Linked DNA regions of Arabidopsis thaliana. The protein of the gene in region 3 purifies or fractionates together with the protein of the main gene of each other region. This does not show direct contact. Each region holds a gene or a part of one and is shown on either strand. Other genes may lie near its edges.

Region 1 (5,309 bases), on a different chromosome or scaffold from region 3:
GTAACACTCAGAACGTTCTTTATATAAATTAATCACTTTGGTTACTTCGTCACTATGGATTTGGTCACCTCAATGGGATATGCGACCTAACCACTAACTAACATACTAATATGAAAGTCGTCTTCTTGAATGCTTACGTCACGTCTGTATAGTATACAACTACATTGTTACTTTTCGTAGTGAGCTACGTTATTTTGATTTTTATTTTGTTTACACAAAATTATAACGGTTTCGATTTTTGAAACTTTTTTCTTATAGATATCTAAGTAAAACAGGACAGTAATATATTGATTTGCAAAATGAGTATCCTTAACAAGGATTAACATAATACACAATAGAAAAAGAAGGTGTTCAAAAGAAGTAGACTTAGAAAAAGAAGAAGCATAATGCGTATCAAAGCACGTTCTTGTTTTCGTTTCTGTCTTTTGGCATCAAATATCCTTTTCACGAACATTACGCCATTTATTAACTTTATTTTCCTCCATAATCCTTTTTCACTTTACTTTTTCTTCTTGTTGTTTCTTTTCAATTTAAAGAAAAGCTCATCAAAATGTATAGTCTTCCTTTTTACATCTAGGTAATATGCAAATTATTCAGTTCTGCTAGTAAACAAATTCATAAGTAACACCCTTGTTGTGGTCAATGGCTCTAATCAGAAATTTCATACTAAGGACAAACATGAAGAACATGTTGACTTTGGAAAACGAACAACATTCAACCGGGGCTGTATACTCGGTCACGATGTGAGAGTATAACAGAAGGGGGGGGGGGGGGGGGGGGGAAATGTGAAAAAAAAAATCTTAATTTCAATAGGATAAGACCATCTCTGTGGAGATTTCGACACATTGACGTGAACTTTTGTATTCAAAACCCCCTCAAAAGAGGCCTAAGCCTAACGAACTTGAAAGATAAAATGAAAAAAGACTCTTTGATACATTCTGAATCAGAACAACTGAGAGAATTCAACAATGTCGATATCAAACTAAACTCGTTCGTTCCCCCACCCTGACTTGACCCTTTGTTTTGGGGAAGAGAACACACAATAGCTGCCTTCATCGCGGGCAATGATGACTACAGTAAGTCACGAGAAAACCTGATCTAGCTGGTGGCAGGTATGGCCACAGGCTTTGAGTCCTCTGCTTTTTCATGTTCCTTGTTCAGTAACTGAAACACAGCATCATCACAAGATTTAGTTCAGAATCACATTATTGTGTGCCGTGAGAGAGAGTAAAGTAAAGATCTAACCTTGTTGTTGATCAAGTTGTGGAGCGCAATTACACTCCGAATGAGGGATGATAGATAGATAACGAGCATCATGTCATTTGTTTTCACTGCACATTATAAATACAGTAAAGATTAATGAAGCAGATCTAAGAAAGCAGCCCAATATAATATCAAAATGATAGCAGAAACTCACCGGAGAAGGCCTTGACCAACTCGTTCACATTCAGGTTAGGAAGCAAGTTGAAAACGTCCTGTCGATTTTACGAGAATATATTTCATTAGACGAAATCAACCAACAGCAGAGACAGTGACTAGAATATTTTAAAGAGCGCAAAACACATAGGTTTGGACATTGTCAAATAGTTTCTCCATAATTTGTAAAATTCAGAACACGAAACGGAAATATAGTTCTAACCTGTAGATGGTATAAAATCTCATGGTTTAGAGGGAGCTTTCCTTCGATTACAAGGTCAAGATAACTCCGGATCTCCCGAAGACGTGCATCCAACCCCTTCAAAGCAGTAAGTTTTGCAGTGACCTGGTGCAAAATACTATAAAGTTATTTATGTCCTCGAGCAGAAAACTATTATGTCCATAAGTAACCTTGCAAGAACATCAATACAAATCCTACAAGTCCCCCATCATGATTTCAACAGACATTTAATGGGAAGATAATGAAAATTTCATGTATTGTAAAGACAAGAACCTCAGTCGCGAGGGTACTGATTGTTGTGTCTTTCACATCCCTGAGCAAATGCTCCACGCCTGTACAAGAACAAGAATGACGCAGGTAAGTGTCAGAAAATCTTCCTCAGAACAATCACAAAACACATTTCTTTAAAACTCAACCGAGATGATGAAATCATCAAAAGAACTGTTTTCCCTTTTGGACATACCGATTTCCTCAACTTCATGAGCAGCAATTTCTGTAGACACATGAACGAAAACTTTCTGGCTTTTCTGAGTAGCATTCTGGAGAGAAAAAGAAGTGTTTAATCAGCATCTGATTATAATAAGCATACAACTTTACAAAAGGGACAATATTTGGAAGGGTTTGTATCTTACCTCCTTAACCTCCTCCACTGCATAGTATGCTTTGGTAGGGATTCCAAGTTCTTTAGGCTGGACATCAATAATGACCAGGACTGGATTTGGAACATAGCTGCAAAACCAAAAGCAAAGTGAACCTTAATTGGAGATGAAACCGAAGCCACAAAAAACGTAAAGTGGGAAAGAAACACAGATTTCAGCCTAAAACAAATCTTTATCACAATTTAAGAACCAGAAGATCCTCAATCCATAAAGGCCAATCAATTGATATCTGAATGATTAAACTGGAAACTAACCCATTGAACAACGCGTGAACATCCAAATCATTCTCTCGAAGTTTAGGGCCTGTGCTGTACCAACCTACAACATGCTCCTTGGCTGAAAAGCAAGTAGGTAGTGTTAAAAGCATGGATTTCTACAATGTCATAAACAGTATAAGCATCAGTTTCCTGAGAAAATACCATTAATTCTCTTGAACATGTGGAACATTGACTCATGGTAGTTGTGATCAAGAAACCAGATGCTTGGGTCTTTGTCATCCTCCTCAAAGGGCACTACAATTCAAGATGTCAACATGTTAACACGAATTCATATGTAAACAACATCCATCTATTAAAGAGGTTTCTAGTGACAGTGTCCATAGATAAGCAAGCACCTCTGCAAACTTAAATGCAACTAAATCAACCTAAAACAATCTCTTTCTCGACGGGGGCTCGATTGAATCTTAAACCCTAGCGAGAACGTGATTTAACTGAAGTAAACATCAACTCTAGAAGAGGTCAATTCCGGAACAGAACAGCCACAAAAAAAACCTAAATGGTGTTATTATACACATCTGCCTAGAACCCAGGTATGAATAACCACTCAATTCAAGTTTCAGTTTAGAGACCTCAACAGAATCTGAGATCTGGGATCCAAGAGTACTAGAGGAAAAAGGATAAATAAGGCATACCTGCATAGCTGTTGGTGACATCAACAACACCACGAGAGCTGCTCCCCAGAAGAACACCGACGACACGCTTGCTTGAATCCTTAGCGACGCGATTGTAATGGTCGACGATACTAAGCAAGACTAGTGGATGAACAACCACTTTCTCGATCGTCCTTGCTGAAATCTGTTGCGTCTTAATCACATCCATTGTTTGAAGAATCAAGTAATCTGATTTCTCCGGAGAAGATTTGAAAAACGTGAACTTTCCGATCTGGTTTTCCTTTTTTTCCCGACGGAGCTTGAGAGTTTGCTTCTTCTCCAGGAAAAACCACTTTGCACTAAATTGCTTCTAATATGGTCGTTTTATTTTATTTCCCTATAATGGGCTTTTCTTTTGTTAAGCCCAATATGATGGGCCTGATCACGTCATTTATTGGGCAATTTTCCAATATACATTTCTCGAAAATTTATTAAGACGGTGGATAATTAAATAGGATTTTATTTCTTATTTTATCAAATATTTTGAAGTAATTTTTCAAACGAGTGCTGAAAATATGAATTGTAGAGGAGAAAATAAAATAAAATAATGACAAATTAAGTTGTGGAGACTTTCAAAAGTGTAAATCATAAATGTGATACAAAAAGAAATATCATCCCTTCCACTATGGTAATGTTATAACCCTAAATCGTAAGTACTCATTTCACGGGTAGGCCACAGAACAGAACAGGCAATAAGTGAAGAGAAGAAGCTAATGAAAAAAAATGTAGCAACGATATTATTAGGTTGATATTGTTACAAGGGAAATTTGTCAAAATCTAGCTAGATCTAAATAAATGTGATCATCATGTCTTTATTTCTTAGCAACGTCACCACTAGAGTTGTACGTTAATATCAAATCCGTTCATAGAAAGCTTAATCGGAGATCCAACGGCGAATGTTCCATCTCAGCCCCACATGTTGAGAATGTAGAAAACGCCGTCGTATATGCTTGCTCTCGTGTGTATTCGTTGTGGCTCGCAGCAGTAACGTTTGCTCTCACTCTCTCAACTTTCGATAATGGGAAGAGTTGCAACGTCTCTATCATTTTCTCTTCTACTTTACAAACTTCAAAAATATTTATAAGAAACCAAGACACATTATTAGCGTCTTAGTGATAAACTGATAATATATACTGTAAAATGTGATTATAAAACAATCTAGAAAGAGATCTTGATTAACCTTTCGCTGGTAGTTGATGACGACGTACGTTGTCTCGGCGAGGCTTAGAAAGATCTGTATCTTGACGATGATCAAACTTGACGGTGGAGATTTTCCGGCACTTTTGTCTCTCTCTAGCTTTATGGTTTTGGAACCAATAGAACACGTTCTTGCTCTCAATCTTACCGTAGAAACTCAGCTCCATAGAGATCTTCTGAATCTGGTCCGTGCTCGGTGTTCGCAGTCCCGCCTTGAACAGATCTGTCAGAAGCTTCACTTGCTCCACCGTTGGATTCCACCGTCCACACTTCGCCCCCGTTCCTCCTCCTCCGTTGTTGTTATTACATAATCCTCTAGCTTTAATGTTGAATCCTCTCGACGACATTATTAATTTCAAGAAATAGTTATCTTAGTGTTTGCGTTTTAGGGTTTTGGATATGTTATATGATTATAGGCGATGGACTTCGTGATGTGAATGGACCAAGGTTTGAATATATAGATGAGTAGATGATGTTTTTTTGAATGTTTGTAGATTTTTTTCCGATATGCTATTATAATCAAAAAGAAAGAATAAGGGGAATAGATTAAGTAACTGTGTTCGTGTTTTGAGTTTTGTGTCGTTTAACTAGTGTTGTGTAGGATAAAGGTAGAAAAAATCAAACAGAATCAGTGCGTTGTTTATTACGAAATGCATGCTTTTGTTTTTGGGATTCGGGAGAGACTGAATTTTCCCGAGAATTGATCGTTTTCTTTTATCCTAGTTAGCTAGGGTTACTTGCTGCGTAATTTCATCAGTAATTGTGAACTGATTGATTTCTTGATTAAATGTGGGATGTTGTAGCCTGTGGGGTTGAGTGATGTTTCAATTATATATGTTGCAAATTTAAGCTAGAGAACATGTAGCGT
Region 2 (7,920 bases), on a different chromosome or scaffold from region 3:
GGATACAGTTGTTGCTGCGGTTGGAACAACTGTATATGGGCTTTATATTTTATAAGGTCTATAAACATAAAACTAAAACAAAAATGGGCTCACTAAAGAAGGCCGGACAAGGTTAATCAGATAGAAGGCCAGTTACGTTTTTATTAGTAAAAAAACGCCCACACGCGCCCAGTTTATTAATTTTAGCGAAAAACGGCAGTTTTCCCAGTCTTATACGCGCTTAGTATGCGAGTGGGTAAGATATTTTCATTTGACAGTTCGCCTACCACGCGCCTCACTCATGGGCTCACTTTTATTCTGCCCATTGGGCTACAAGGAGCGTAATATAATTGACCCACATAAATTAAAAAAGGCCTACTAGCATAAACAAACTATTTTGACCCAAAATCGACAACCTGAGATTTTTATTTTTCCCCGACTGAACAATGTGGTTAAATTTTTGCAATGATTTTTATCTAATTTCCCCTAGAAAAATCATACAAGCATTAACCTTTACTTTTTTTCTTTTTTTTTGGTATATAGCATTAATCTTTACTTAGGGAAAAATGATAGTTGTTTACCATTTCTGCTCTTAGTAATATATAGATTTAAAGAAACTACTAACACAAGAACAAGTCGGAACCAATGCAATAAGTACTAGTCTCCAAGTTCAAAAAAGGAGAACTGTTTCTCTGTTTAATTAACAGAAAACAAAATGGCAACTGATCAAATTACAAAATCATGGAGAAGCGTATTCAAAGGCCTGCGGAGGTTGTGGCTCGTCATCTATGGCCATAGCAGAGGTGGTGGCTGCTTGTTGGGCTTGTCCTGCAGCTTCTGCACCCACTGCAGGGGATGCTGTTGAAGTCGGTGCATCGGTCAGAGACAGAACTTCAGGCTCATGCGGACGCAAGTCTCTGAGAAGGACAAACCCTGATGGAGCTAGCTTCATCGGTACATATCGGCTATCCTCCATCAATTTGATGTATTTCTCCTGTGAAGGGACTACACGCGCAGGATTGACTAGAATCTCAAACGTTGCTTCTGGCTCAACCTTCTTCTCCACCGTTGTAGCTGTGCTATCAACCTGGCATAGTAACATAGAGAAAATATACTTGATCAAAAGTCAAAAGACTGATGATAAATTGATCATGACCTTGAGATTAATCATAGGAACAGCATTTCCCAAAGTAAAAAATGTTAAGAGCAATTTTTCAACTCAAACAGATACGAAGATGTTGGGAATTAGATTTGCATTTTACCTGCATAGACTCTGCTTCCTTCTCATCTGACGCTGCATTGGCTTTTCCAGCTTCATTGCCAGAGTTTTCAGCTTTAGCTTTCTGCTCTGCTTCTTTCTTAGCCTTAGCTTTGGCTTTGGCTGAGGTTGAGAGCACAGCAGTTGGTAATTTGGCAGCGGTGTTGGCAGTAGCAACCGTAGTTGGTTTTGGATACTCAAACAACGATGGTTTTGCGTGTGACATGAATTCAAACTTTGGGACTTTGAGATCGTAGTTCAAACCGATGAAGGCGGTGGGTGAAAACGCCAAGCTTATGAAGTAAATCAATGGGTACCAATACCAAAACTGGCTGAAGACAGTAAGGCCAATGACTGCAGTGACTTTGTCATGTTTTGTCTTAGACAGCAGTCTTATCGTCACATTCCTTCCACCAGCATCAAGAATACCTGAAGCCAAAATTGCTCCCATCTTGCTCATTGTATCTTCATGCTTGTCAAGTATTATCTTCTCAAGTTGACGCCTGCAAAAGCACAGACAAATTTTAGTCTTCAAAAGAGAACTATTCTCACTCCCTCCAATTGATGAAGAGATCGGAACTTCACTAACCTAAATGCTCCAACGCGAGAATCGCTTGCTTCACTAATTTGGACCATCACCATGGCCATGGCAATCAGAGCACCTTGACGAACAAAGTCTACAACATCTGATGTAAGTGGCTCCAACAAAGATATCGCCTCACTCAGACCAGTGCCTGCACAAGAGATGCCAACTGCAAGAGCTGCGCCATAGCGGACATGTGGATTGTACGACTCGGAAAGAAGGGATACAATACGGGGAGTCTACAGTTTAAATATTGAGCCACCAGTTAATGACTGTAAGCGAGCACAAGAGCCCTAAAGGCACTAAAGAAATGGAATATAGTGTCAAGAAGTTAATGAGACAAAAAGAATATGGAGTTACCTGCTCTGGATCAGAGTATAAGACAAATCCAAGTGCAAGAACAGCAGTCCTCCTAACATCGTCACTGACATCAGACACAGCAAAGTGAAGAAGTTGGCGGATGGCTTTGTTGTTTGCAGTTCCACTGTAAGCCAATGCGAGTGCATACATTCCACCATAACGGATGATAGGATCCTGATCTCTAGTCATCTGCTCAATCAAAGTATCTGCTCCCTCTTCTCTTCCATATACTGTGAGAGCTATTCCTAGAGCCAATCCCCTAAACACAAAACCAGATGTTGGTTACTTAAAACATTGAAATAAATTACCATGCACCCACACACATAGCCAAAAATATATTCCAGACTTTAGTTACCTTATTATCTTCTCATGCTGAGTCTCGTGAGCATAAGCGAGCATCTCACTTGCCTTATCAGTTGCTGTTCCAACCAACAATAGACCCATGCTTATGCCGGCAGCTTCACCAGCAACAGCACTGTCAGTGTAAAGCACACTTTTGATATCATCATATATGTCTTCATCAGCTGTCCCAAGAGCAGCCAAACCAAGACCTAAACAAGCTCCGTGTTGAATAACCTGCAACCATATTTTTTTAATGAAAATCATTCTAAACAAAAGACTATCTTTTTGGTGATATAACGGAAGACTATCCAGAAGAAAGATATAGCAAATCACCTCAACACTAGTGCTGCGTAGACTATCACGAAGAAATTGCTTGATTCCCTCACCATGGTTTGCATGAATAAGGCCGAGAGCATATAAAGCACCCCCTTCGGAATAAGGACTCCCGCCACCACCTGCTCCGCCCTGAGGCAAGTATGGGGCCATCAGTGACCTGCCCTGTTGCAAGTGACCCCTATGAATAACACCTAATCCTGCTGTAGCACTAAACTTGGCCCAATTGGTGGCCCTGCTTAGCCAATCCTGACAATTCAAACATGAATGGAAAAGAAAAGAAGATTAAATAATATGCCACATAGTTGACGTTGAAACAAGTTAAAAAGTGGTAGAGAAAATAAATTTTACCAAATTCTCCCTGAGAAAAGTGTCAACTGTCGTTCCAGCATGCATTATAGCATTAGCATAAATTGTAGCACTGTGACATACACTGTTCCGCATCTCAACAGATTGTTTGATTGTCTTCAGGATCAGCAGGTCCGATCTACAAAGAAACAATGGCCATTGCTGTAAATTTTACTATGTGGAAGAAACGACTTAAGAATGAAATATCCTTCGAGATATCAAAAAAGGTAAATAAACTGCCTCACTTGTTATGGCTGTAAAGAAACTGGAGTGTCAGTTGTATTGATGTCTCTCCAGATAAAATCCCCTTAGCCTTTGTTAACCTCTCAGCGTACACAGCGTCAACAGGATCTGTTTCATGCACAATTGTCTGAGATGGAGTTTCATCCGCCATCTGAACATCCCCTGCAGTGTTCTCATTCTGAGCAGTAGAGGTTTCAACAGCTTGAATTGCTTCTACAGGACGGGTCTTGGGCGCTGGAAGGCGATCTCTAACACTCATGAGGAATGCCTGGTGCTCATTCTGTACAAGATCGAAAGAGATTTGGAAAGCCAATAAAGCATCATCTTTGTTCTCTGAACGAAGAAGCTTCTCCAATATGCTTGCAACGCCTTGTGGTTCATCCAAGAACATAAGGCATTGGCAAATGCTCAAATAATCAGGAGAAGCCAGCTTCTGGTAAACATTAACAAGTAACCGAAGAACCTGCAAGAACGAAGTAAGGATGTTATCATTTACAAATTAACAGCCCCTACAAAAATGTTTTGAGTTGACATAAAGAATGCAATGAATTATAACCATTATATTTGTAAGAAAAGAATAAAGAAGATGAGCTCATAGTATCATTAACATAATACATCTATTAAAATCCAGTTTTGTGGCCACCAGACTCACCTCATGTCTATATTCTCTTTGATTAACAAAAGAGTGGGAAACATTGATGCAGTAAGATAATGTTCCCTGCACATTCTCACTCTTTATGATCGCTTCCTCCAACTTATCCAATCTCCGGCATTCTATAGCAATGCCCATGGCTTGTTGATACTTTCCGTCAGTGATACATCTATAAAACAGAAAACCATGTAAGGAAAAACGAAAAACTTGTAGACAGACATAAATAAATAAATTCTGCATCCCATACTTGTCTAGCATTCGTTCAACAATGGCCACCAATCTCGGGTCAATTTCCACCACCTCACTTGACTCGACTGCCTTTGATCTGAGAATAGCATACTCATCTATTGCTTTGGCTGATAAGGAAAACAGAAGCATCCATGAGTAAAACATTCAACATTAAACAGTTAGTAACTGTAAGATCACTATCTTATCATGTCTTTGCGTAACTTTCTAGCAGCACAATCTTATTAAAAGAAAGATGGACGTTCAAGTCTTATTAGTTAGAAAATATATCGTATAAACTATTTTCTTAATCTTCCATTTAATCAGGTTGGAATGATTTTGAATTTACGCCTATTAAGAATGATAACCGAGCTAGTGTCTACTGTCACAGAATTGGATAAAAAAAGTAGAAGAGAAGAAAGTAGCAAACTTCAAAATCCTTACATAGAAGAGTATGAATATAATCAGAATCCTCTGACACATCAAACAAGGATCCAGCTCCAAGGGCATAGGACAAGGAATCGTTAAGCTCACCCAAGTAATAGAAAACCTGAGATAAAACAAGATTAACATAAACGTTAGAAAACAAGTCTTATAATACAATAACATAACTTGATTACAGGAAATTCAAGCTCTGAACTTCTGTAGCAATCTACCAGCTTTTAAGGTATCCGTTTAACTGGCACTCGTATCTCCACTAACAATTTATATAAAACCAGTCATCATGTAAGTTAAATAAAAAGATAAACTGTACCTTGGAGGCCAACAAGGCAGCAAGCTGTCTTTGATGCTGATCAAACTCTTCATCTTCGTATAAGCTCTCTCTACAAAAAAATCAAAAAAAGGTCTCAGAATAGCACAAAAACAGTTTAAGATCTCAAGCAAAAGTAGAGTCTCTACAACTTTCAAAAGAACAAATTTTCCGCATCATGACGGTAAGGGAGCGTCCTTAGCCCAGATAACAATGGTTCTATTCAGAATCAACAGAATTAAGTAAAGCAATTCAATAAAGTTTGTCACTTGTGAATTAACGCATTCAAATCTAACTCGACACAAGAGTGGAAAAACTTGGAATGTAATACCCTAACTAAGAAATATCAAGAGTGCTAAAACTCATCCAAATCCCATAAGCTTTACTCCCAGTAAGCAAACAGAATAGCCTCACGAAGGGAAACAATTAAAAAAAAGAGAAGAGAGAATTGAATACATGATTGGGACACTAGTGGAGATCTCGGGCCAAAATTGGTCAACCAATCTGATGAGATATGAGAGAGCGTGAAGTTTCAAGGAAGGATGGGGTTCGTTGAGCATTGCCAGTAACCCACCGGCGGAACTAACCATGGCGGCGGCCATTATCCTAATCGGAAAATTAGAAACCTAGAGGTGGAGAAGAAGAGTTGATCAGACGGAGGAACACAAGAACCGAACTACTTTGGGCGAGCACAATTTCTGAGTTCACTTTTTCACAAGTCTAATCAAAATCGAAATTCTAGACTTATCGAATATTAAGATACTTACCCAACAAGTCAAGTAATTTTTACCAATACCCCTAAATGTTTAATAAGATTACACTTTCACCCCAAATATATATGATGGATCCAAACAAAATCATAAAGTCGGAATACAAAATTGGGTCTAATGATGGGCCAGACTATATATCTTATAGTGTTAATGGACCAATCTAGCGGCCCATAATAAAAACTTTATTGGTTTGTTTGGAAGTATAGCATATGAGTTTCTAGTTTACATCATTGATTGATGACACCTAAAAAGCTAAAGCTCACAAATAAATGAAATCACATTTTAGGGTTTATATAGATAGTTCAATATTCCATAGATTGACATGGCCTGTCCTCCAACCTATAAAGCGACTACATCTTTTATCAAGTCAGAATTATTTTCTAGTAAATATTTTCTCTTAGACCATACGAGTTTTCACTTAATATGAAATTATGAATAGACATGCAGAAACATTTTCATTTTTAGTTATTGCCCTCTGAAACCTGGACAACCTTCAAATTAAATTTTAATATAATTGATATGAATGTATGATTAATATAATTCAAGGAACTGTATATAATAATTGGTGTCATATGTTCTTCAATTTTTCAACTATATTTGCATCATATTTTTCTCTTTGTGTTGGATGAGATCAATATGGCAGTTGGGCAGACAATGAAACATAAAACTTGTCCAGTGACCGGTGAAACATCTTTAACTGTTTTTACTCAACAGCAATTATATCCTAGTTGTTGTACAGGTTGAATCCATGCACATTGACGAAAAGTGCTTATGCTATCACGATCTCTCTCTAAGTCTATATATATACTGCTCATGCAAGAAGCAATTTCGTATCAAAACATCCTCTTCCAATAGCTTCTAATATTTTAACTACAAACATTTTAAGTTTCCACTAACAATGGGTCTAATCGCCGGTAAAGTGCGTGTGTTTGTTTTGGTGTTTGCTTTGGTCACAGATTTTACTATGGGAGAAGCAGAGTTTGGTGATGAGAAGCCCTTGTTTCCTCACCCTCACCCTCATCCTCTCCTCCACAAGAAGGGCTTTAAAAAAGAATTCGGCGACTTAGGTGGTGGTGGTGGTATCAGCGGTGGAGGCGGCTTTGGAGCAGGTGGCGGTTGGATTGGAGGCAGTGTTGGAGGCTTTGGTGGAGGAATAGGCGGTGGATTTGGTGGAGGAGGATTCGGAGGTGGAGCCGGTAAAGGAGTTGACGGTGGCTTCGGAAAAGGAGTTGACGGTGGAGCCGGTAAAGGAGTTGACGGTGGAGCCGGGAAAGGATTTGATGGAGGAGTTGGCAAAGGAGTTGACGGTGGAGCCGGAAAAGGATTTGATGGAGGAGTCGGCAAAGGATTTGAGGGAGGAATCGGAAAAGGAATTGAGGGAGGAGTCGGAAAAGGATTTGACGGTGGAGCAGGTAAAGGAGTTGACGGTGGAGCCATTGGAGGAATCGGCGGAGGAGCCGGTAAAGAAATTGGTGGAGGAATTGGCGGCGGAGGTCACTGAGAATTTGTTTAACCGTAATGTGCATTGATGAGGAGCTAAAATCCAATGCATGTCATTTAAGAAAACTAATTCGTTATATATGTAACAATAACTGAAATGTATGTCGTTTCTCTTTAGTTTGTTTTACTCTTTGAATATGATTGTATCTTGCTTCTTCGTGCAAGTAAAGTGAATAAAACGATTAAACAAAGCCTTGTGCATTTAAATTGATTTTAAAAGGTATATGTTTAAACTAAAGTGAATAAGTGGTAGTATCAACTTTCTTAATCTACAAAAAGTTCTTAGCTAGATATATTTAAACCCGAGAAAATAATCACAGAGATACACAGATAATCATCCCTCGCGCGTAAACGGTAGTAAAACCCCGTTTAATGAGTTCAAATTTGATGGCCAAGAATGTTTGACTTACCCGCAAAATGATTCCAGAGATCGACCGGTTTGGAAGGGTAAAATGGTAGTTTTCAAATTCTCCGATGAATTTGAAAACCTTGTCAAGTAACTGAGGATTTGCAAACCGGACATGATTTACTCCGTCCTAGCCATGGATCAATGCACTGCACAATAAATAAACAATG
Region 3 (7,202 bases):
CTAATCAAGTGAATTTTTAGTCTTTAGTGTTTTGGACCAGATCACGAATGTTTAATGTTTTGGACGAGAACTTGAGATTCGTCGATTGATATGGATGGTGTTCATCATAGGATTCTGTTTATCCAGAAGTTGGAAAGCTTTTTAGAATGCAGTTTGACAGTGGACAAAACTCCATCATTCGTGTGCCGGAGGGGGTTCCATGACATGACTGGCATGACTATCAACGGTCATGTTTCGCTAGGAAGCGTTCATGTAGTTGCTTTGAGGATCCATGAAGCAGCTACATGATCTTGATAGTTTTGGAAGACAAATGTGTGGAAAATTCTCTCACACTCAAATTCAAGCGACCGGACAAATTAAAAAACAGAAAAGAAGTAAAGAGGCAGCTGTGATCGAGTCATTTCGAGAGTTTGTCCGTGAGCTTATCTACCAGTCTTAACGGTTCATCTAACTAACCACATTTATTGGATATTTCTAACTTTTTCGATAATTTTATAAGTATTTGGAATAGTAAATTAGGCATCAACTGAAAATTCACCAAAAGAAAATGGATACAATTCTGAAAATTTATAAAATATTACGTCTATATTTCTCAATCGAGTTTAAAATCCGATAAGCCTAAATGAAATGTCCTGAGACTGTAAAAATAAAATCAAACAAAAAGAGATAAAGCAAGAAGATAAAGTTCTCATGCGTTTGTTACTAAGATAAGAAACAACATAAAGACTTTAAAGAGTAATAGAAGTTGCAGCGGAAAATTCACAAACACCAAAAGCTCAACACTCTTCTTCCATAAAAGAGCATCTCGTACTTACCTCACGATTGAAGCACATAATCATTCTGACTTGTTCACCGGACTTGAGAGGCAGAGCATAGCAAGCCAGATGCGTCTGCGCCAATGACTGCAAGATCACAGACCGAGCAAATGTTACCTTCCTGGCTTGGTACAAACCGGGCAGTGCAGTAAGGACATGCAACGTCTTTCTGTCCTTTGTAGATTGGCACATAAGTGGACCCGCATATCACAAACGGGTTTCTAAAGTCGTAGTTGAGTGTTGTTGCATCTGTCATGTTGCGTTCAGCTGCTTGCATAACTTGTCTAGCCGTCCTGGCCTGGCTCTCAATAGTTGGGTTTGTATCCAACAAACTTCTGGCGAAGTGAGCAGCAGTAGCCATGTTCTTTGACTTGTAGCAGACGGTCATTGCACTGAAGTACGCGAGCCGTAGGTGAGGTGTTTGAAGTTTACAGTGAGTGAAGTAAGCAGCGAGCTCTTGCTGCCTCACCGGATCATCTTTCATCTCTCTCCTCTTGAGCTCCAATTGAAGACCGAGGACATATTCTTTAACAATGATGACCAGTTCCTTAACCTCATCTACTTCTCTTCTTGACTCAACTACCACCAATGGGATGGTTTGGAGAATAGAGAGGAAGACACGAAGAGCCTCAGATAGTTTCCCAGCTGTTGTAGCTTTGTAGCCGGATTTGAGCTTTGCTTCAAGCTGAGAGAAATCAAAAACAAGAGCTGGCGGGCCACGGACGTTAGGACTGGAAGACTCACTCCATCCACGCTCAATGGCAAGAGGAACCACAGGAGATGAAGAAAAGGCACGCAGATAGCTATGGCTCCCACTGAACAGATCAAGAAACATCGATTTCAAAGGCGCAAAGTTCTTAATGCCAAGCTGCCTGTGGAGCAAACGCATTGCAGTGTCGAAGCTTCCTGCTGCAGCCTGCTCAGCAGCAAGGGAAGATTTCTGACTCCAAATCTGACTTACGGGCATACCTTGAGGAGGTGTCACAAAAGTAGATGAACGTGCGTTAGCAGAGGCTTTAGGAGTGTCAAGCTCTGGTGGAAGATCCAAGTCAAGTCCCCATCCACCTTCCTCGTCGTCTTCTTCTTCACCTGCTTCTGCACCATCCAATATGGCTTCGATGTCTGTGTTCTCCATTCCATCAACATCGAATTTGTCAAGTCCCTCACCCCAGTCGCCTTCAACATCTTCTTCTTCTTCATCAACAGCCCCTCTGTTTGCACTCTCAAGTCCTCCTTCAAATATTCCTTTCATCACTCTCAGTAGAGGCCAATCACCACCACACATGATGGGAGACGGTGGCATTAAAAGCGATGGAGTCTTCCCTTCAGGCAATGAAGGCACATTGTCTCCTAGCTCAATTGCTAGTCGCTCAGCAATGTCAGTTAAACCATGAACCGAAGCTGTGATATAAGCTAGAGGCAAATGACCAGCATTCTCTAGTATCTTAACACGCTCTTTAACATCTCCTAGGTAGAGTGCATTGTGAAACTGACCCATTACATTGTTCTTCACCTCTGCAATCTTCATCAACTTTGACAGCTTGTCTAAATTGCCAGTAATGAGATATAGAAAAGATAACCTCTCAAAGTTCTTTGTCTGCTGGTACGCAAACTCAACAATTCTAGAATTTCCTTGACGAAGAGCTTCCACTCCGAGTCTATACCAGTGGTCTTTCTCATTAATCTCTGTAGCGGATGCAACAGCTACACTGATGTTGCCACTTTCAAGAGCCAAGTTGAATCGGATCCTCTCGTCTTCAACAAAGTGTAGGGCAACTTCAGGAAATCCTTTCTGCTGAAGATAAGCGATCATAGCCTGTCCACATAGCTGGGAGTTCTTTATCATGCTCATGACATGATCATATTTCTTTCTCAGTAGTGCAAGCTTGAAAATGTATTCGGTTGCATTAATGGTGATAGCCCTGTTTTTCCCATCCCGGTCCAAGCAAAAGATTGTATTTCCAGACACCTTGGTGATGTAGATTGGGACATCCAGGGTTCTGATGATTCCACTATCTCCATTAGGCAGACAGTACTTGATGTGGTTCAGAGTAGTGTAAATGAAGACACCATTGTCGTCCCATGCTCCACTTTTCACACGTATTGTCTCATGAAGCGTGCACTGTAGGACAAGTTTTTTGCTCGCAATAATGATAGTATGTTTGCTGAGCAAAGCAACACTCTCCATATCGTTAGACCAAACAACGTACCTAACAAACGGTGTCTGAAGCTCACCAAGAACAAGCCTTTGTTGAAGGTCAAATATAACCACTTTATCCTCAGATCTACAAAGCAAATTTCCAGTCCCAGCATAAAAGATAGCATCTGTGGGAATAGGTAAAGAACTCTTTTTAACCACCTCATTCTTTAGATTCTTCACTAACACCTGGCTGGTGCTTTTCTCCAGAACAGCAAACCGATTTCGAGCAATGAACACCGCAGAACCCCCTGTCCCCCTCTTTGCATCTTGTACAACATCACTCCTGCCAACGCTATCTTTCGGTATGATGTACAACTCGTAAGAACCACCATCCAGATCTGAGCAGATTAAGACTGCATTTTCTGTCGGACTGTAGGATAAAGTCCTCGGACTTTGATTCAAGCTTGGGGTACCAGGACGCCGTATAGGAATAACTTGGGAATCTTTTTGAGTTGAATATTCATAGTACCGCAGAAATCTATCTTTGGCATAGAATAACGAATCACCACTCAAAGCAAATGCAGGACGTTCTCTCTCAAGTTTGAAAACAATCATACCATTGTCATGTCCTGCTGCAAGTAGATTAATCTCAGGGTGAACTGCAAGAATCCAGAATCGGTCATGCTCACGACGAAAAGTTTGGATTCCAGTTCGCTTGGTAGCATCCCAGACACGGATGCTTTTATCCTCAGAGTTTGACACGATAATGTCCTGTTTTGCATGGAACATAACGGATGAAACGTTATTCATATGACCTCGCAATGTATCCACCTCCCAAGCTTTAGTTTCTGCAACAAAATTGAAACGCATCAGTACCTCAATGATTCATAAAATTAACTTTCTGTGAAGAAGAAGACAGATATCCATAAGAAATACCATTCATACGCCACAGCTTTACTTGGCGGTCATCGGCACCAGAGACAATGAGAGGAAGTGTGGGATGAAAAGAAGCCCAGTTGACTCCTCTATCATGACCTTCAAGGACGTACTTAACTATAGCGTCAACCCCTCCAAAAAGATCAGAATTCATCTGACTAAATCGCATGAGGTCATCAGCAGGAGATGCTGACTTCTTCTTAAGAGCACCAATGTCCCAAACACGGACAGTCTGATCCAGTGATGCTGATACAACAAGATCTTCCTTTGGATGGAAAGAAGCACACATAACATAATGATTGTGACCAGTCAACACGGAAATACAAGTCCTAGACTGCCAGTTCCAAATGCGGATAGTCTGATCGTCACTAGCACTCACAATCCATGGGTTTTCGTGGTGAAATTGGACAGTGCGGATATAATCAAGATGCCCGAGAAGAGTGAAAAGACACCTGTGAGTTTTGTAGTTCCAAACTTTAATCTTGTAATCATCCCCTGCAACATCCAATGTAATCAATGCCATCAACTACATATGAGTAATGTTCTGTAAGAGCATTATAACTGTAACGAAGAAGAATCCAAGCCATTTGCATTTCTAGTTGTTTGAGTACTTACTTATGTTCAAATAAAATACTATGCAACATGTACCATAAGATCTGGTTTCAATGCACTAGGTCCAAATCATCCAATATGTTATATAAGTAACTTAAACACAAATTATTTACTCCAGCTGGGACTATAAGAGCTTAAGTCATCCATTAAACAAAGGTTGGGAGACCAAGCTAGATCTAGGAACCGAGGAAGCTAACTAGCTAAGGGTTAATACTTAAGCAGATCAGGATTTATCGATCATGAAAGTGTAATAAACAGACTTATTGGCCTACCAATAACAAAGCATACCTCCAGAGACGAATAAAGGCTGTGAGTTGTGGAAATGAACACCACGAACAGGTCCTTCGTGCTCATCAAATCTGTCGATCAAAGTACCCATACGATAATCCCAGAGCTGGATCACACCACTGTGTAAACTCGCGAGAATCCATGGTCGTTTAGGGTGGAAACTCAGACCCTTAACTCGGTTACTCTTGGTCTCGAACTTGGTCAGCATATTCACAGATTACGAAACAGAAACAACTCTACAAAAACCAGATCAACAGAGAATGAAAATCATGGAGAAAGATCAGTTCAAAGAAATCGAAAAACCCGCAAAAGGAAGAAAAAAAACGTAATCCACGTGAAATTGAAAACAGATCTAACGATAAGAAGCAGCAAGATCCGAGAAATCGAGATTCGTACAATGAAGAAGGAGAAGAAATAGAGATTCACCTCAGATCAGATCAGTTCACAAGGGGAAGCGATCAAGCTCAGCTTCACGGTGACGATCAGTAGCATTACCAGAGAAGCGTGGATGCGAGAGCAAGAGAAACACAAGGATCGTCTAGAAGAAGAAGAAGAAGAAGAAGACGGTGAGATTCAGTTTCGTCGTATAGATCTGAATCCCTCCGCTCAGTTATCTCTGTCTCCAATTTGCGTCTCGCTAATTTAATTGGCATGAATTACTCATTTTTACTTTTATTTTATATGGAAGCATCAACTTTACATTTTTTATTCCAAGATAATTAAAATCTGTAAAATTTTGACTACAGAGCTTCATATTTTTAAATCAGATAACACTTCAAATGCTCAATCAAAAAATTATTACATGAGAGAAAACAATATATTAATTGGGGTTATTGAACTGATATTACACAAAAATGTATAGATAAATACATGATTTACGACATTAACCCTGGAGTAATTTCATAATTTCATTAGCCCTGGACTCGATTCCTTTGAGATACTCGGTCAAAATTCGCTGCTGGTATGAACCCCCTTCCTGGTATGATCAGAATAGTTGTGGTTAGAATGATGAATTTTAGAAAACAATATCTGGTTAAAACCCCAACCCAAAACCCGGTTAGCCTCGCATTCACTCCTGAAGAGAATAATAACAATGCAAGCAAATGTGTCATGGTATGTTACTTACAGTTCGAATCAGTGTGCGCTCGATTCGTTTCTTGATAACAGCAGATAGCTCATCAGGTGTGATATCTCCTTTTCCGATTGTTAACCCGTCTACGAAAAGCTTGTTCCATTGTTCCTCAGGAGCTGAAACACACATAATAAACCGATGTGAAGTCTGGCTGGGGTCTATAGTACATGGAAAAGTGGTTGCAGAACAGACCTTTGATCAGAGTTTCAAGAAAATGCTCGGCTTTTACAACTTCGTTCCCTGTGACAATAGCTATAGTGGATGAGATTATGTTCGTAGAAAATGGTTTAGAGTGACTTGGCATAGTTTTCAAAATTGGGCAAATCACCTTTCTTTGCGTAGCTACGCTTGGAGAGGATAGTAGCAGAATAGAGTTGAAGAACTTTTTGCAGCATAGCCAATAACCCTGGTTTGTCTTTATCTTCTTTTGCCTGAAAACAATCGTCAGCCTCAAACATTCAAAAGAATACATCTATTCACTGTAAAGGAAAGACCTCAGAAGTGAAACAAAACAAATTGTAGCACTTACCTGCCGGAGCTGAGCATTAACTTCTGAAAGAAATCCTTCATCTAATTGCCCTTCTTTTTCCCGTTGTATAATTTCCTGTTAATACACTGATCTCAGTAACCATGACGATATCAAATCACAGAATCTAAGACCAGATAACCCTTCTGAATATAGGTTGTATATATAAAAAATGTGTAGATGTAGTAGAAAGTGAAGAACAACTAGTATAAACCTTTTTCATTAGATTGATGGCTTCAGGATCTCTTGGCGGCCATGAAATCTCTTCCACTCCATCTATAGCAGGTCTTAAAATCCCTTTCAGAATATCAGTAGACGTCTCTATCTTTTCCTAAAGGGATATAATGAACTCTCAGTTATCCCTGTTTAAGTAAACGCTGAAGAAGAAGAGACAATAAAACCACAGAAGAAAGAGAAACCCGAGTCTTATTCACAACACAGTCAACTATAGTCATCACAGTTGTAGCTAACTCCTCATAGTCCTTCTGTAAGAAACAAACCGTATTCAAAGCATTAGCGGAAACAAAAGAGATCAAAAGTCTGCTCTATCATTGACATAAACAATATAAACTCATGCCTTGTCATCTTCTGATTTACAAGTATCCGACCTAGCTGCTAGTCTTATCCAAAAAACCTCATCAAAAGCAAGGATATTTTCAACAACAATCTTCTCAACCTGTTCAATGAAAATGGCAACAACAACAAAACAAAACTCAATTTACTCAAGATAATAGAGCAAAAACACAACATTTA
Region 4 (4,857 bases), on a different chromosome or scaffold from region 3:
GGAATTTTGACACATTCTTTGGGATTCTTACTGCTGCAACCTGGAATTATGTCTCCTTTCATACCATTATAGTTTATATATGTTTGTCCTTCTCCAAATCCGCTGAACAATGATAATATAATCATTACTGAAACAAAGAAAATGCGGATATGACTCTTTTTGTGTGCAGCCATTGTTTTTTGAGAAAACAAAAACAATGTAATTGAAACTTCTTGATATTTTTCTGTGTTATTATATTTTTGTAGTTTGAATACGTGATTAATTATTAATTTGTGTTTCTTTGATTTATAATGAGAAGGATGATTCTAAAAAAAAGACGGCCAGTGCATAATGTATGTGCTGATAGAGTTTCGTGGCTATTTATATGTCATTTACAGTTTTTTCGGTTAATATGTTCGGTTGGTTTCTAGCATGGCAGCAAATTTATCGGCCACAACAAGACTTTCGTGAATATCTGTGTTGTCGTTAGTGTTTGTTTGTTTCGTTGTTGTAAAAATTGATCTGTTCTGTTGTTTCTTCACTCTGTTCAGTGCTTGATGAATGTGTACGTACGTACATCCATCTACTCTTCAACGTTCACATGTATATTCTAAATTTGAACCGAGCCGAAACCAAGTATATATAAATTTCAATGTTCTTTGTATTAACTTCGATACAAAACCCAAAACTGAACTAAACCGGAACCAAGCCGGTAGAGCTAAACCAATTTAATCTCTTTTCAGGAGAGTTCAGAGATTACTCTTTCACATTTATCTTCCAATATCTTCACTGCTTCGTTGAAAAGAACCTCCGGAGGCTGTGATCCCGTGGACTCAATTGTAACTGCGAAAGATGATAAGAAACTCAATTAGAATCTCTTTCAGTACCATGGAATTGCCAGGTTGAAGGAACTGTGTTTTTCTTTTTCTTTTCTTACATATAAAATGGTTCTTGACACGGCGCAGATCCACTTGGTCCTCCCATTCCACTCCATCTCTTATGCATTCTCTACACAACGAACAATCACGCGGCCGAGCTACTGTTGCCCTCTTCCTACCTGTTTTCCACGTTTGCAAGTCAAATTAATTTGCCGCCAAAGTTCTCAGGTTTCATCAGAATCTCTTATTGTTACTCAAAAGCAAGTAAAGACATTTGAAGGAAACTTGGGAAGGCTTTTACTTCACCTTGGCCCATGTCTTCAATGTCAAAAACTTTCTTGGGGCAGACTTTTACGAGTTCTTCGGCATGTTTACCCTCGAATTCCTTTAGTAGAACCACCTAAGATATTATAAACAAAAAGCATTACCGGAAAAGCCTAGGACGAGTCAAGAAGAAATTAATTAAGTCCTTTTCCCAGAAGGCTTATGGTGAACTTCTCACCTCAGGAAGCATTCGATACCAAGCCGTTGCTACTGGGGACCACTTTGCATGTGTTTTACCAATGCCCTTAACGGCATGAGCCTCAAGCTCGATTTCCTGCAAGAAGAAGATGCAAGTCTTTCATCTCTCAACGGAATTAAGTCCTCAAAAATGTCACAATTAAGGGGAAGAGTATAAATAGAAACAGTACCTGGCCAGGGCCAAGTTTTGCTATCAAGATATCTTTTAAGGTTGGCCTGATAGGATTTTCAGCAAATTCAGGGAAGGAATCTTGGCTATGGTTGAATGAAGTGTAAGTTTTTGGCGTTGTGGTTGAACCTCCAGATTCTTTGATAAGCTCACTTCCATTTGGTAACCATTTCAATTCGCTTGTTAAGACTTCAAGAAATAAAAAAATGATACCTCTCATGAGATCTCGAGCTAACAATAAAACAAAGACTCTTCTTGAGCAAACCAAAGAACATATATTACCTTTACGACGCGGGTCACCTTTTAGACATTTCACATGGAGTTTGAAAACAATGGTGTTCTTTTCATTTGGCTGATCGTTTTCTATGACACAAAGATAAACAACAACAAAACTAAGCGTGACACAAAGAGTTTATATGCTTAATGAGATGGATCACATTCCACAGAATATTTCTTACCAGATAAATATTCAAAGAGTCTCGGATCTGCGGCAATTGGAATAAGACCCAACCTGTGAGCAAGAACTTCGTCTTGAATAACCGATGTGTTGTTTGCTACATACACTTTTTCAATAGCCATTGAAGGAAGCTGTAATCAAAGAAACACTATTAACCAAAGATTCTAATAATCAGAGATTCATCAGAGGTAGTGAGACAGTGGGCAGACCTCAGCTAAGAGGATTCTTCGGAAAGCATTAGCGATTCCTGCATGGACACCGATCATATCGAATACCATATCTGTCTCTGTGAGACTAATCACATCAACTTTGAAATCCTCAGAGAAGTTTTCTAGTCTCACACTGTTGTCCACTCCCATAGAGGAATAGGCACCCGAGAAAGTGATAGCCGTAGGCTACAATAAAACACAAAAAGAAAGGGAAGAACATTAAAGACTTCAAATTTCAAACAATCATCACTCAATATCATTCGGATTTCGACAAACCCACAGTGTAATCTTCTTAAATTGCTAAGACCAAACTCAGTAAATTCACAGCTTTCTACAAGCAAGTTTTAAACTTTACTCTGTAAATCTACACGAAATCGATGAACATAGCAAACCCACATGGGACACACTGAGAAAAGCCAATAAATTTCTAGTTAGCTGAACTTATACATAGCTTAAAAAGAGTGTAAATTTTGATCGAGAATAGTACTTACATGAATATTAGAATCCTTCTTACAGACAACGCGAGTTCGCTGGAGCTCAAGATGCGGAGGAAGTCCGGTAGGAACGTCAGGGAGATCAAATATGTTGAAGTTCTTCGCTTCTCTCTTTTCTTCATCAGTCACAATCCTTGTTACTTCGTTAGTCCCCATCCTTCTCTGCAGCCAAGTTCGATTGTGAGAATCCGAAATCAGGGTTTAAGGAGAAGAGGAAGATGAAAATTGCACGATTTCACTTTTCACTTCAATTTCGTTCTTCAATTTCATAAAACTGGAAAATTAGGGTTTATGGACACGTGTGAATACTAGAAAAAAAAACATCCATTTTTCTAATAGCGGCATGGCTTAAGTCCGAACCGAAGCGGCTGAACCGTCCAACCGGAGTTTGGTTGATTTCTGACTTTTAAAATTTTCGTTACCACCAAACCGAAATTCTAATCTTAAGTCCGAACCAAATCGACATTTTTTTATTTTTTAATTAACCACATATTAGTTAAAAGATAATTATATGATTGGTCGCCGAATATGGAAAAAAAATCTACAAAACAAATTTGAGAAAACAGTAAACGAAAAGAACGAACTAAACAATCTGTCTTATAATTAAACAAATGAGATATATAGAAAATCATGAAACGAGAAATATAACATTCGACATTTTGTTTGATTTTCTACTATATAACTTTTCCAAATATAAGTAGAAATGTCGATTTCTAAACAAACCCGATCTGAATAATCATATTCTCCAAATTTAGTTATGGCAGTTCAAACCCATAATGGTGAAGGTTCTCACTCCAGTATTTTTTTTATTATAGCATACCAAGATAACCAGAAGAATGAGCCAAGAAACTAAACAAAACTAAAACCAAAACTAGTTCCAATCAACTCAAACACGAAAGTAGATAAATAACAAACCACATGTGATTTCAAATTTAGTTTAGTCTAATAAAAAACAAAAAGACTAAACCGGACGACCATACATTGGGTCCCTATCGTAAATTAGCAAACAAATTAGTGTTGCCCATTTTAAAAGTTTGAACTCTTCTTTATTTAAAAAAAGAAGAAGAAGAATTGAACTGGTCAGGAAGAAAAAAATAGAAAAGGAGAAAAAGGACAGAGGGAAAATGGAGAAAAGTAGAGTAAAATGGCGTCACACCAGAGAGAAGGCACAACTCACGGGGAAATCAGCAGAACCAATACCACCGCCACCGGTTACTATTACTATTCTTGTTATCATCATCTCCCAAAAAAAAAATGTTAGTATTATTTTCGAGTCTATTTTTCAAGTTTTTGTTTTGTTTTTAATATCTCGACTTTGCCACCCAACTCCTCCCACTCCTTCACAACTGTGTCCTGTCCTCTGCTGATTTCTCACCTTTCCATCATTCATTTCATTCTTTCTTTTTTCCCATCCGTTTCTTTTATTCTTCTTTCTCCTTAAATTTAAAATCTTTGAATTAAATTATTGGATTTTATTGTTTCAAAGCGTTTCTATCATCAAAACCCATCTTCTTCTTCTTAAGATTCTGAATCATTCATTGATTGATTTAGCTTCTCTTCGACTTCTTAATTTTACAGTTTTTTTTGTTTTTTAAACTTTAATTGATGCAAATAAGCAAACTTGGATCGCTGTGAGCCTGTGATAATGATTTCTTTTAGGTTTGTAGGATCTGAAGGAAGCTACGGTTTATTTTTTTTTATGGGCAATCTCTAACAGGTACAAATCTTCTCTTAGCTTCTCTCTTACAAGATCTTTAGGTTATGTCTTGTTCTTTGGAGTTGCTATCTTTCTTCCATGTTCCAGAGGTTTGCCTTATTTTATCACTTTTGACATAATAATTTATTTTGCCTGTTTTTTGTTACTTGGTTTAATATTCAGATGAATCTTTGACCATGATCTCTAAATTTGGTTCCTAGGCAAGATCAAAGAAAGTTCATCACATAGGAGTTGATCATGAACCATAGTTTCCTCAAAGATCTCAACTTTGTCTCTAGTTGGATTGTAATCTGTATTGCTTAGGACAGTTAAATCTTATTACATCTTGGCTCGTCATGTCAAAAGCTGAAGATATTTGAGCTTTCATATCTTACAACTAATTAGTTTCGTATGTCTACAGGTTTCTTACTGTAATTTTTCTGTTTCAGTTCT

Evidence for each region.
Region 1: the proteins of AT2G21390 (region 3) and RPN8A fractionate together in Arabidopsis thaliana (co-fractionation; one large-scale study listed by BioGRID). This does not show direct contact.
Region 2: the proteins of AT2G21390 (region 3) and AT1G04810 fractionate together in Arabidopsis thaliana (co-fractionation; one large-scale study listed by BioGRID). This does not show direct contact.
Region 4: the proteins of AT2G21390 (region 3) and RPAC43 fractionate together in Arabidopsis thaliana (co-fractionation; one large-scale study listed by BioGRID). This does not show direct contact.

Annotation. Positions count from the first base shown.
Region 1 is NC_003076.8:1,733,966-1,739,274, reverse strand, and holds RPN8A (RP non-ATPase subunit 8A), read right to left. Parts: upstream 3,546-5,309; 5' UTR 3,414-3,545; coding exon 3,227-3,413; intron 2,829-3,226; coding exon 2,736-2,828; intron 2,653-2,735; coding exon 2,571-2,652; intron 2,387-2,570; coding exon 2,290-2,386; intron 2,197-2,289; coding exon 2,121-2,196; intron 1,990-2,120; coding exon 1,931-1,989; intron 1,763-1,930; coding exon 1,640-1,762; intron 1,476-1,639; coding exon 1,418-1,475; intron 1,332-1,417; coding exon 1,246-1,331; intron 1,165-1,245; coding exon 1,099-1,164; 3' UTR 535-1,098; downstream 1-534. Other genes in the region: WOX7 (WUSCHEL related homeobox 7), read right to left, coding at 4,420-4,788.
Region 2 is NC_003070.9:1,348,060-1,355,979, reverse strand, and holds AT1G04810 (26S proteasome regulatory complex, non-ATPase subcomplex, Rpn2/Psmd1 subunit), read right to left. Parts: upstream 5,901-7,920; 5' UTR 5,677-5,900; coding exon 5,531-5,676; intron 5,148-5,530; coding exon 5,078-5,147; intron 4,874-5,077; coding exon 4,768-4,873; intron 4,455-4,767; coding exon 4,346-4,454; intron 4,268-4,345; coding exon 4,099-4,267; intron 3,910-4,098; coding exon 3,449-3,909; intron 3,343-3,448; coding exon 3,207-3,342; intron 3,105-3,206; coding exon 2,856-3,104; intron 2,757-2,855; coding exon 2,536-2,756; intron 2,440-2,535; coding exon 2,181-2,439; intron 2,060-2,180; coding exon 1,827-2,059; intron 1,741-1,826; coding exon 1,242-1,740; intron 1,067-1,241; coding exon 719-1,066; 3' UTR 514-718; downstream 1-513. Other genes in the region: AT1G04800 (glycine-rich protein), read left to right, coding at 6,743-7,345; AT1G04790 (RING/U-box superfamily protein), read right to left, coding at 7,837-7,899. UniProt on the Arabidopsis thaliana protein: Acts as a regulatory subunit of the 26 proteasome which is involved in the ATP-dependent degradation of ubiquitinated proteins.
Region 3 is NC_003071.7:9,150,225-9,157,426, reverse strand, and holds AT2G21390 (Coatomer, alpha subunit), read right to left. Parts: upstream 5,488-7,202; 5' UTR 5,218-5,487; intron 5,028-5,217; 5' UTR 5,000-5,027; coding exon 4,792-4,999; intron 4,387-4,791; coding exon 3,892-4,386; intron 3,804-3,891; coding exon 850-3,803; 3' UTR 521-849; downstream 1-520. Other genes in the region: AT2G21385 (uncharacterized protein), read right to left, coding at 5,675-5,767, 5,918-6,039, 6,116-6,163, 6,252-6,354, 6,453-6,527, 6,664-6,780, 6,869-6,934, 7,027-7,125. UniProt on the Arabidopsis thaliana protein: The coatomer is a cytosolic protein complex that binds to dilysine motifs and reversibly associates with Golgi non-clathrin-coated vesicles, which further mediate biosynthetic protein transport from the ER, via the Golgi up to the trans Golgi network.
Region 4 is NC_003070.9:22,329,232-22,334,088, reverse strand, and holds RPAC43 (RNA polymerase I subunit 43), read right to left. Parts: upstream 3,196-4,857; 5' UTR 2,865-3,195; coding exon 2,706-2,864; intron 2,621-2,705; exon of another isoform or gene 2,495-2,620; intron 2,401-2,494; coding exon 2,215-2,400; intron 2,137-2,214; coding exon 2,007-2,136; intron 1,912-2,006; coding exon 1,831-1,911; intron 1,738-1,830; coding exon 1,550-1,737; intron 1,456-1,549; coding exon 1,360-1,455; intron 1,258-1,359; coding exon 1,164-1,257; intron 1,037-1,163; coding exon 917-1,036; intron 823-916; coding exon 719-822; 3' UTR 521-718; downstream 1-520. Other genes in the region: RALFL6 (RALF-like 6), read right to left, coding at 1-173.